2 linked regions of the Macaca fascicularis genome follow. The protein of the gene in region 1 interacts with the protein of each later gene in a pairwise test. Links are inferred from orthologs where the notes say so. Each region holds a gene or a part of one and is shown on either strand. Other genes may lie near its edges.

Evidence for each region. The genes of interacting proteins can lie anywhere in the genome.
Region 2: the proteins of COPG1 (region 1) and COPZ2 interact in a two-hybrid assay, tested with the Homo sapiens proteins (2 studies listed by BioGRID). The link is inferred for Macaca fascicularis from reciprocal best matches to the Homo sapiens genes COPG1 and COPZ2.

The regions. Positions count from the first base shown.
Region 1 is NC_088376.1:154,146,276-154,152,189, forward strand, and holds the end of COPG1 (coatomer subunit gamma-1), read right to left. Parts: intron 4,479-5,914; coding exon 4,340-4,478; intron 4,123-4,339; coding exon 4,024-4,122; intron 2,035-4,023; coding exon 1,904-2,034; 3' UTR 1,548-1,903; downstream 1-1,547. UniProt on the Homo sapiens protein: The coatomer is a cytosolic protein complex that binds to dilysine motifs and reversibly associates with Golgi non-clathrin-coated vesicles, which further mediate biosynthetic protein transport from the ER, via the Golgi up to the trans Golgi network.
Region 2 is NC_088390.1:58,692,339-58,698,245, reverse strand, and holds the start of COPZ2 (coatomer subunit zeta-2), read right to left. Parts: upstream 3,636-5,907; 5' UTR 3,616-3,635; coding exon 3,505-3,615; intron 3,361-3,504; exon of another isoform or gene 3,263-3,360; intron 2,757-3,262; coding exon 2,682-2,756; intron 1-2,681. UniProt on the Homo sapiens protein: The coatomer is a cytosolic protein complex that binds to dilysine motifs and reversibly associates with Golgi non-clathrin-coated vesicles, which further mediate biosynthetic protein transport from the ER, via the Golgi up to the trans Golgi network.

The sequences.
Region 1 (5,914 bases):
CGCTGGGGTCAGCGCCCCACGCCTGCCAGCACCCGCTTACCTCGAGGGCGGCCACTGGACGGCCCGGGGCCGGGGTGCAGAATCTCCGCCTCTCGCCCGCAGCGTCCCCGGGCCCGACCCGCGAAACTGGGCCGCGGATCCCGCTCCGGACACTGCTCCCCGGAGCGGGGGCCGGTTCTCGGGGAGCAGGTGGCCCCCAGCCACCGGCCGCAATCCCTCGCCCCTCCCCTCCGCTCCGGCCCTCAGACTCCACCGCCCCGAGTTGCCTCACTTCGGCCCAGGCCGCCCTCTCCGCGTCGCCTCGCGTCCGCTCGGGCCTCCGCTCCCCTCTGTCAACCCGCGTCGCGTCCTTACCCCTCCTCTCCCCTCCCCACACCCCGGCCGCCCGCGTCGCCTTCCCTCCCCTCACCTCGCCCCGGCAGCACGCTTCACCTCCCTCAGCTCGCGTCACCTCCTTTGGCTCTCCTCACCGCTTCTCAGCTCCCTTCTGGCCGCTCGCCTCACCGCCCCGCACGTCAGCCCCGCCTCAGCCCGCGCTCCCGGCGCTAGGCCCCGCCCCCTGGGGGAGGGGGCCCTTGGTTCTCTCTGCGCCCTCGGGCACCGGAGGCGGCGTCTTCTCCCTTCCGGTTTGGGATGAATCTTTTCTCGTTTCCCCAGGAGACAGTGACTGCCTTGGGGAATGCATCCATCCCAAGCTTCTCGGGACTCCACTTTCTTCCATATTGGCCGTTCCCTGGCGGGGTTAACCTTCCTCCCCGCCCCCAGCGCGCCTCAGGGCCGCCGGCGGGGAAGGTTCCCGCCGCCCTGAGTCTAGGGCACAGGGTCATCGAAGGCGGGAAACCAGGAAACTCCACTCCTTACTTCACAGTCGTGCCAGCCGCCTCACAGTGCGAGGCAAAAATGGAGGAACACTGAATAAATGGAAGTCTGGAGAACTTTCAGGAATCGCGCACTTAGCCCTCAAACGATGGTGTACACTAGAATGAGCCTTTTCTGTCCCCGCACCCCAGCCCGCCAGCTGAATCTCTAAGGGTGAGGCCCAAATTTTTAAAACAGTCCTTACGGGTGTACTTTGTTCTCAAAGTTGGTAAAATAACCTGGCTTGAGTTTAAAAGCCTGCTCCCCTTGGGACCTAAACCGGAGATTTCTTTATCTGCAACCAACAGAGAATACTCTAGAGGGCTGTTCTTCGCCTATGCTGATTCGCTGAACAGGTAGCAGAAACCCCAGGGCACACTCCACATAGGACCTGATGCTGGAACGGCCACAGGACCCAAGCCCTTTGGAGCCTCCGTTTATCGACTACCAGAGGAGGATGCGTTGCGAAGAAGCACGAGTGGGAGGGAGTGGGAACTCAGTGCCTGTTAGCTGATTCACTCAACTAACCTGTACCGCTCCCACCCCTGGGCTTGGTGCTGGGACAGCGATGACGGGGAGAGGGTCCTGCCTCACAGGATTAAAACAGCCAAAGGGCTGTGGGTACAAGGGGGACAGGGCACGTGTTCTGCCTCTTGGGGGAGGCCTTGAAGGGGAAGGTGTAGCAATCATTCAATAAATACATGCTGATTTATTAGAGGGATAAGATGGTTTCTTGGGGGATAAATTCAAGAGGAGTCGAGAATGTTTTATTCATTTACAATGTCCCTTTCCTGGAAGGAAGGATAGCAAGATTTAGGACAAGCTAAAATCATTCCCTATTAAAAAAAAAAAAAAAAAAAAAAGGCACCCCCAAGTAGTCCCGGGTGGGGGGTAAGGGCAGAATAAAAAAAAAAATCTGCAATGATTCCTAATTGTTTTTGAATACAGAAGCTTGGGAAGGGGTTTCCGCCAGTTTCATGAGGAAGGCACAACTTCCAGGTAGTGTTGGGGGGGAAGGGCATAAGGTCCTATGCAGGCTGGCTGCTTATCCCACAGATGCCAAGATGATGTCTACTGGCAGCTCCTCCAAACTTCTGGCTGTCACCTGCATTGTCACTGTGTCCAAAAGCAGCAGCCGGGAACGCACCAGGATGTCATGACCACCCCGGAACACACCTAGAAGGGAAGACAGAAGTACAGGTATATACAGCAGAAGGGATTGTACAGGGCAGGCTAAGGATGGCATTTGCAGCAGCCCATCAAGACAGCTGTGGTATAGTGAAATGGGCAGGAGAGCTGGGCTGAAATCCCTGAGTGAGGGATTTCACTGTGAAAGTCACTGACTCTCGGCTGGGCACGGTGGCTCACACTTGTAATTCCAGCACTTTGGGGGGCCGAGGTGGGTGGATCATGAGGTCAGGAGTTTGAGACCAGCCTGGCCAACACAGTGAAACCCCATCTCTACTAAAAATACAAAAATTAGCTGGGCATGGTGGTGGGCGCCTGAAATCCCAGCTACTCGGGAGGCTGAGGCAGGAGAATCACTTGAACCCGGGAGGCGGAGGTTGCAGTGAGCAGAGATTGTGCCACTGCACTCCAACCTGGGTGACACAGCTAGACTCCGTCTCAAAAAAAAAAAAAAAAGTCACTGTCTCTCTGGGCTTCAGTATCCTCAACTACAAAATGGCGGGGATGATAATACCATATTCAGGCTTCTGCTAAGTTCAAATGAATTGATGGACATAAAAGGCTCGTATCTGACGTCACATAGGCTCTTGCATGTTGGCTGAATCTGACAGCACAAATGAAGGGGACAGCCCCACCACGAGAAAACCACAGGGCAGGTGTCTGCAAGACCCAGGGGACTGGGTTGTTTCAATGTGGCTACAAACTGTCAGCTGTAGACAGGGTACTGAAGCAGAGCCTCCTTTCAACCCTGTTTATAAACACTTAGCCAAAAAAAAATCATCCCATTTCCTTTTGTTAACTGTTTTAGGTATGATAATTGTATTGTCCTTTAAAAAAGGGCAGGGGTCATTATCTCTTAGAGAAACATAAAGATACAGAAGAATTTACATATAAAATGCTATTTCTGGAGTTTGCTAGTAAGTAATCTGGGAAGGAGAATGAGTGCAGGTACACTCAGCCAACCCTGTAGAAAATAAGACAAAGGATATGAAGACAGTGATCAGAAAAGGAAATACAAATGCCTCAACATTTGAGAAGATACTTAACTTCAATGAAAATACAAAAACTACACTAAGATATCATTGTCCACACAGACTGGCAAAGATCATAAAGTGTGGTAACATATTGTGTTGTCCACAGTGTAGGAAAAAAGGTATACAATTCTATGAAAGGCAACTTGGAGTTATTTATCAAGATGAGAAACACAAATCACTTTGACCTGGTGATGCCTTGGAAAATTTATCCTACAGATATTCTCAGTGTACACATGCAAAGTAAATTGTGTGTGTGTGTACACGATTATTTACTGTAACATCTGTAATAGCAACAGATTGAAATCAAACTAAATGTTCATCAGTAGCGGCTGTTCCACAGAATATGTGGTGCATCCACACAATGGAATACTAAGCAGCTATAAAAAAAAAAAAAAAAAAAAAAAAAAGGATTCAGTTTGGGATGAAAAAAGTTCTGGAGATGGATAGTGGTCATAGTTTTACAATAGTGTGAATGTACTTAATGCCGCTGAACCACACACTTGAAAATGGCTGAAATGGTGAATTTTATGTATATTTTACCACAATTAAAAGAAAAAGAATGAGGAAGCTCTACATATTGGCAGGAAAGATCTCTTAAGATGCATCGTAAAGTGAAAAGCAAATTGCAGGACAATATACCATTTGTACATAAACATTTGAGTTAAAAAAAGGAAATGTGTTCCTTTATAGCAATAAAATAACTGCAAGGTTATACAGGCATTGTTTGTAATAGTAACACTGGTCGTTTCTTGGAAGGGAATCTCAATGGCTGGCAGCCAAGGTAAGGTGGAAACATTTCGCTGCAGATTATTTTATAGTTTGCGAATTTTAAATGCTGTGAATTTTGACTCCCCGTATTTACAGTTAAGTCCTTAGCCCAGGATCCAGTGGACATCCAGGCTGTAAGCTATCCAGGCCCTCCCCACCTGGAAATGCCACTTACCAGCCAGAAGCAACGTGTGGGTATTCTTGTTATCCGGCACTTTGTCTGACCTCTCACAAGGGTGCATTCCCAAGAACTTCACAATATTACCCACAGCCTCTATAGTGAGAAATCCCAATATTGTTAAGCCATCTTGTCTGCCCTTTGTGCCACCACCACTCCCCCATGTTCTGAAGGGCTTTTAATGAAATGGCATTTGACATATGTGCCCCAGACATGGCCCTGGATCCTTGGAGAGAAAAGGTATAAGCACTTCAACAGTACCCAAAGATCTTGAACGGCAAGTAGGCCAGAGGTGGCATTCCCAGGATTTTACCTTCAAGTGTCTTGATGGTAGACAAGGTGAATGTTTCCTCCTTCTCAAATTCATCCCCTACCTCATCCCAGGCTGCTTCGAAGTTCAGTTTCATGACCTTTTGAATGTGATCAGCTACAGTAACTTCCAAATCTTCCAGCTGGAGAGATGGAGATAGAAATCAAGCACCCATCCACACACTCTGCTCTGAACTCATCCACACATCCCTTCCTGCCAACTCTTTCTGCAGGTGCTTGCTCGGCACTGAGGACTGTGCTAGACTCTGGGGACACAGAACAACTTGACCAGGTACCTATCCTTGAGGTGCCCACAGGCAAGTGGTATCCCTTCAACAGAAAATGCCCTAATCCCAAGTACCAATCTACTAACTCATCCTAGAGCTGCCTGCTGTGAGATCACATCTCTTTTAAGCCTGCCTAGTGTCAGTGCTTCCAGGATCTGGCATACAGGGAATTACATAGCATTCTCAGAGGTCTGCTTCCTATGCCTGTCATTTCTAGGGGATGATGAGCTCTTCAGGAGCAGCAGCTGTTTCTAGTTCAGCAGAAACCTCCTACCCCAGCTGTGTCCTCTGGATTTGACAGATCCTGAATCTCTGTCTCCATTTCAGCTGTGTCTTCTCTGAACTTGACACATAATACTCCCACTGAGTCCACATGAAGGTTCCCCATTCGTTCTCCCATCAGATTTTCACTGAGGCCCTACTCCTGTGGATGTTTACAGTGTATATAAATACAACTTCGACCCAGCTCTTTTTTTTTTTTTTTTCTATCATCTCTGGGTGGGCTCAAACAGACCCAGCTCTCTCAAGGAGCTCACTTGGTCTTAAAGCAGCTCCTGCCTCAGGGTCATTTCCAGCTTAAGGAAGGTCCATCCATCCTCAACTGTGACTCTAGGATGACACAATGGTGAATGTCAGCTGTATTCCACCATGACTGTCCCTCTAGTCAGGAGGAGTTCTAACAATCCCCATCCACAGGCTGAGCGTAGTGGTCTGCACTCAGAAGGCCCTGAGCCACTGCCCCAAGGTCAGACCCCAGAAGGATCCTGTACTTAGTTCCATCGAGCTAAGATAGGAGAATTTAGAAGGGCTATTCCAGTGCATGAAAGGACTGCCCAGCACGGCAAACAGGTCAAATGTATCCAGAAAGCATTTGACAAAAGGAATCAAAATGTCTTAAAATCATGCTTACCCTTTGACCCAATTATTCTCCTTCTAGGAATCTATCCTAAAGAAATAATCTAAAATGCAGATAAAAATTTGTATCTAAAGGGATATTTAGTGCAGCATTATAAATAGTGAAAATATGGAAACCCAAATGCCCAACATTCAAGGAGTGAAAGGTCAATCAAGTTTTGACATAGTATATAACAGTATTTTAAATCCACTAAAAAAATTGTGTTTATGAAGTATTTGTAATGACACTGGAAAATACACTATGGTTTTAAAATAGCAAGGTCTACATTATAAGAATGATTCCAATTATACCACTGCCCCCCAAAAGTAACTCTGAAGATTATGAGTAATGTTTTCCTGTTGTTCATACTTTTGTTTTGTATTTTGTTTTTGTATTT
Region 2 (5,907 bases), on another chromosome or scaffold:
CTGCTTTTGGAGTCCCCTCTGGTTTCTTGGAGGATCTTGTACATTCAGCAGATGTGCAGGGTGCTAAGGATTAGCATGGTCACTAGCGCACACTAATTCTACAGCACCTGGAGTCTACAGGAAAGATGGCAAAACCAGCACACCTTCTTAAACAATAATAATGATAATAACAACAGCTACTTTATTATCCCCATTACACAGATGGGGAAACTGGGGCATCAAGAAGTCAGGTAACGGCCGGGCATGGTGGCTCATGCCTGTAATCCCAGCACTTTGGGAGGCCAAGGCAGATGGATCACCTGAGGTCAGGCGTTCAAGACCAGCTTTGCTAACATGGTGAAAACCCGTCTCCACTAAATATACAAAAAAAAAAAAAATGGCAGGGCGCGGTGGCTCACGCCTGTAATCCCAGCACTTTGGGAGGCCGAGGCGGGCGGATCACGAGGTTAGAAGATCGAGACCATCCTGGCTAACACGGTGAAACCCTGTCTCTACTAAAAATACAAAAAAATTAGCTGGGCGTGCTGGCAGGCGCCTGTAGTCCCAGCTACGAGGGAGGCTGAGGCAGGAGAATGGCGTGAATCCGGGAGGCGGAGCTTGCAGTGAGCCGAGATCACGCCACTGCACTCCAGCCTGGGTGACAGAGCAAGACTCTGTCTCAAAAAAAAAAAAAAAAAAATTAGCCGGGTATGGTGGTGGGCGCCTGTAATCCCTGCTACTTGGGAGGCTGAGGCAGGAGAATCACTTGAACCCGGGAGGCAGAGGTTGCAGTGAGTCGAGATCGCGTCACTGAACTCCAGTCTGGGCAGCAGAGTGAGACTCTGTCTCAAGAAAACAAAACAAACAAACAAACAAACAAAACAAAAAAAGAAGTCAGGTAACTTCCCCAACATCTCACAGTTGTGAGGCCAAAGCTGGGTTTGAGCAGTAAGGACGGTCTGACTGCAGACAGGGTTATAGTGAAGATTAAATATCTAAGAAACAATCCCTCGCACATATCCCATAACTAAATTAATGTTTTTTTGTTTGGGAATGGTGAGCCTCTTTCTCTTAGTTTCTTAATCTGTAGGGAGCAAGAGCCTTTGGCCTTGCTGATCCACCTCTGACCATCTGCTGGGGCAAGGTGTGGTCAGCTCAGTTTTCAATTTTCTGGATGTGGATTTTGCCACTTAGTACTCAATCTGCAGGCAGATTAGCCAGCTCCCTACTGGCCGCTGCTTATCTGAATGTCATAAAAACAGAAAAGTTTCAGCTCCAAACAAACAAACAAACAAACAGGAAATCTATTTTTTGAGATGGGGTCTCACTCTATAACCCAGATTGGAGGGCAGTAGCTCGATCATGGCTCACTGCAGCCTCAACCTCCCAGGCTCAGGCGATCTTCCCACTTTAGCCCCCCCGAGCGCTGGGACTACAGGCGCACACCACCACGCCCAGCTAATTTTCATACTTTTTTTTGTAGAGATGGGGTTTGCCATGTTGCCCAGGCTGGTCTGGCACTCCTGGGCTCAAGCAGTCCACCCGTCTCAGCCTCCCAAAGTGCTGGGATTACAGGCATCAGCCACTGCGCCTGGCCTTATAATGCATTTCTTTTCTTTTTCTTTTTGAGACAGAGTTTCTCTCTTGTTGCCCAGGCTGGAGTGCAATGGCGTGATCTTGGCTCACTGCAACCTTCGCCTCCCAGGTTCAAGCAATTCTCCTGCCTCAGCCTCTTGAGTAGCTGTAACTACAGGCGCCCACCACCATGCCCAGCTAATTTTTTGTATATTTAGTAGAGACAGGGTTTCACCATGTTGGCCAGGCTGGTTTTGAACTCCTGACCTCGAGTGATCTGCCCACCTCGGCCTCCCAAAGTGTTGGGATTACAGGTGTGAGCCATTGCGCCCGGCCTTATAATGCATTTCATAGCTAATGCAGATGCTGTAGTTCCACTACAATTAATTGTGTTGACAGCAGAAATTTATTTTTGGATTATTTTAGGCCGTGTTTGCTAGGATAGATAACAGATAATTGAATGGGGGTACAGTGAAAACCACCTTGAGCTTAATGTAAAAAAACCTGAGTTTGCCTGTGAAACCTGTGAAATGGGAGAAGTGAAAAAATTAAATAAGTAAATAAATAAAATATGAGTTTGGATCTGTTAGGATATTAATACTTGTGACCTCAGGCAATTCACTTAGCTTCTCTACACCTCATTTTCTTCATCTATGAAATTAAAGAGTTGTATTACACAGTCTCTAAAATCCCATCTGGTTCTAAATCCTTAGACTCCTTAGGCTAAATCCTTAGTGTTTACCAAGCTGTAGAACAAAAGTGGAGGTTTTGAGGAGGTTTAGAGACAAACCCCAAAGAACAAAAGAGCTTGTGTAGGGGTTTGGGGACTAAGACTCCTGGGTCCCAGGCTCAACACTCCACTGATCCATTAGGCAGAAACTTCCCATGCCCAGGTCCAGCTGGCCAGTACCGATGACGAGGAAACACTTCAGGGAACATGAGTAGAAACAGGGGAGACCCCTCACTTCAGGGAGCAGCACCTTGACAAGGCAGGAGGATGAGAAGGACTTCTGGAGGGGTCTAAGCTGAGCTGCCCTGAGTCACAGAGACCACAGTGGAGTTTCTCCTGAGACAGGAGTGTCAGCTGGATGGGAACTGTGTCCCTCACAGGTGGGGTCAGAGGTTACCTTGGCCAGCAGCCGGCGCCCGTCATTATCTAGGATGAAAACAGCCTTGATGGTGTAGAGGGAAGGTTCCTGCAACTGACACCGGGGAGGAGAGTTCTGTTTGGCCCCTGGCTCAAGGTGGACACCCTGTCTCTATGGGATCTGCTGGCCCTAGGATACACCCTCAGGCTTCAGCAACCCCAGCCCTCAAGGTCCACAGCTGGTTCTGCCCAACCCTGTGCCACATGGGCCAACCCAGGTGCCCACTCCACTCCCAGGCAGATGTTCCACTGCAGGCCCCGAGTGGGCGCTGTGCCCGTTGGGTGCAGAAGGTCCTTCCGGGCCCAAGTTCTGTCATGCACTGACTGCTCCAGAGCCCGAGTCGGAGTGTATCACAGAACCTGGGCCGGGGGGGACAGCGGGCCGAGCCTCCTCCTTCCAGCTGATCCCTGGCCGGGCTGGACCTGCGCTCTCAGCCCGCCCCCAGGCCCTGGCCCTGGCCCGGGTGGACTTCAGCAGCATGCCCATCACCCACCGGTGATGGGAGGCGAGTCTGGGACGGACAGGCCACTCCTTACCCTCCCCGCGGAATCGCAACTCACCCGCCACCCCCCGCTCCAAACGGACCCAGAACTTCAGCCCCGCGCCGACGGACTCAGGACAGGCCTCCTCGCCGGTTGGCGCCGGGACGAACTTTTCCTCCCGGGTCCTGGGGCCGGTCAGGGGTGACACAAAGTTCCCAGCCGCTGGGCGCGCGAGTTCTGAGTTGGCTGCTCCCCTCAATCCTGCACCGTCCCGGCCCAGCTCCCGCCGCCCGGGACCCCCGCTCCCGCCCGCTCCGTACCCGCAGCCCCGAGGGCTCCCTGGCTCGAGCAGGCGGCGCCGGGCCCCCGGCCTGGGCCGCCGCGGCCCCCTCCCCCGGGTGTGGACGTGGCCAGGCCTCGGGCCGCTGCATTCCGCTCGCCGCCTCGCACTGACAGCGCCGCCCGCCTCCTGCCCGCCGCCGCCGCCCCGCCTCCGCGCCCGCCCCGTGGCCCCCTCTCGCGCGTGGCCTTCCTTTCCTCGGGGCCCCGTTCTCTTGCTAGTTCTCCCCGCTCTCCCCTCCCGCCCTCACCCCAGCTCTTCTTCCCCCACCTCTCCTTTCCCTCTCTCCTTGGCTCCTTCCCGAGTCCCTTACAGCCCCGAACTCTGCATCTTCAGGGTGCCCCAAGACCAGTCCTCGTCCTGCTTTCTGCCTGCTCTCCGGCCTGTGGCTTTGGTGTGCACCGGTGTCTGTAGGCTGTCCTGGGGCCAGCAGCAAACACAAGCAAAGCCCACTTTTGTCTGTTGACCTCTGGTAGGTACCATGGGGACAAATATGTCAGATCACCCTTTAGATCTCCGGGACAGGGTCTATAAGCAAGAGCACATGAGGACAGTTCTGGGGACACTCCTCTGTGAAGAGGCTTTCCCATTCCTCTCTCACTACCTGCAGAAGGGAACCATGGCCGCGGAGACACCTCCCCAGGCTCTCCTAAGACACAGATATGGCACCATCAAAAGCAAGACAGACGCCCAGCAGCACAAATGCTCCACCAATGACATTGGGCTTTGCAGCATGTTTTGGTTTTGTCTAAGTGTACCAAAGACAAGCTCTCATTTCAGGATATGCTGGCAAGTGGAAAATTCACACCCCAGTGATATGTATGTTAGTGGTACGTATGCATTTACTGGTAAAAACACTGTGCATGTATTTTACATTTGACACCTTCACATACGTTATCTAATATAGCCCACACCTGTGAGGTAGGCATAATGGACCCTCATTTTAAGGAAAGAGAGACTCAGAGGTTGTGTCACCTTTTCAAGACCATACAGCTAGTTGACTGGGAATAGAACCCAGATTTTTGACTCAAAATTTCTTCCCTATTCTTCTCTTCAAGCCCTCTTATGTTGTGGACCACAGTCACTTACCCTAGATGGTTACAGAATGGGGTTTTCCTCACTGAATGCATCAAGCCTTCTTATCTTCAAGCCTCTGCTGAAATATCATTACCAAAAGGTCCTCCTGACAGCCACCATATCTGACTTGATCGGTCTCTCCTGTCACATTCTCTATCTCAGTTCCTATTTCTTCCTTTCATTGCACTTTTCTCAATCTCTAAACATTATTTTTACTAATTTTGCTTGTTTGAGACATGGTCTCACTCTGTTGCCCAGGCTGGAGTGCAGTGGCTCGATCTCGGCTCATGTCAGCCTCAACCTTCTGGGCTCAGGCAATCCTCCCATCTCAGTCTCCCGAGTAGCTGGGACCACTGGTGCATGCAGCCACTCCCAGATCATTTTGTTTTTATTTTTATTTTTGTAGAAACAAGGTCTCAAGGCTGGGCTCAGTGGCTCACACCTGTAAACTCAGCACTTTGGGAGGCTGAGGTGGGCAGATGGCTTGAGCCCAGGAGTTCAAGACCAGCCTGGGCAACATGGTAAGACCTGGTCTCTACTAAAACTACAAAGAAATTAGCCAGGTAGGGTGGTGTGCACCTGTAGTCCTAGCTACTCAGAAGCCTGAGGTGGGAGAATCACCTGAGCCTGGGGGTTCAAGGCTGCAGAGCCATGATCATGCCACCGTGCTCCAGCCTGGGCAATGGGAGTGAGAACCTGTTTCAAAAAAGAAAAAAAAAAAAAAAAGAAGAAGAAGAAAAAGAATGGAAGAGAAGGAGGAGGAGGCAGAAGGGGAGGGGGAGGGGGAGGCAGAGGGTGATCAAGGTCTCACTATGTTGCCCATGGTGGTCTTGAACTCCTAGGCTCAAGTGATCCTCCCACCTCAGCTTCCCAGAGTGTTGGGATACAGGCGTGAACCATTCCCAGCCTTTACTAGTTTGTTTACAAGTGTTCCTTCTCCCCGCCCAGACTTTGAGCCCTGTGAGAACGAATGAATGTGACTTTTCTTTTTTTTTTTTTTTGAGACAGGGTCTTGCTCTGTCACCCAGGCAGGCTGGAGTATAGTGGTGTGATCATAGTTCACTGCAGCCTCAAACTCCCAGGCTCAGCCGGGCACAGTGGCTCACGCCTATAATCCCAGCACTTTGGGAGGCCGAGACAGGCAGATCACAAGGTCAGGAGTTTGAGACCAGCCTGGCCAACACGGTGAAACCCCATCTCTACTAAAAATACAAAAAATTAGCTGGGGGTGATGGCAGGTGCCTGTAATCCCAGCTACTCGGGAGGCTGAGGCAGGAGAATCATTTGAACCTGGGAGGTGGAGGTT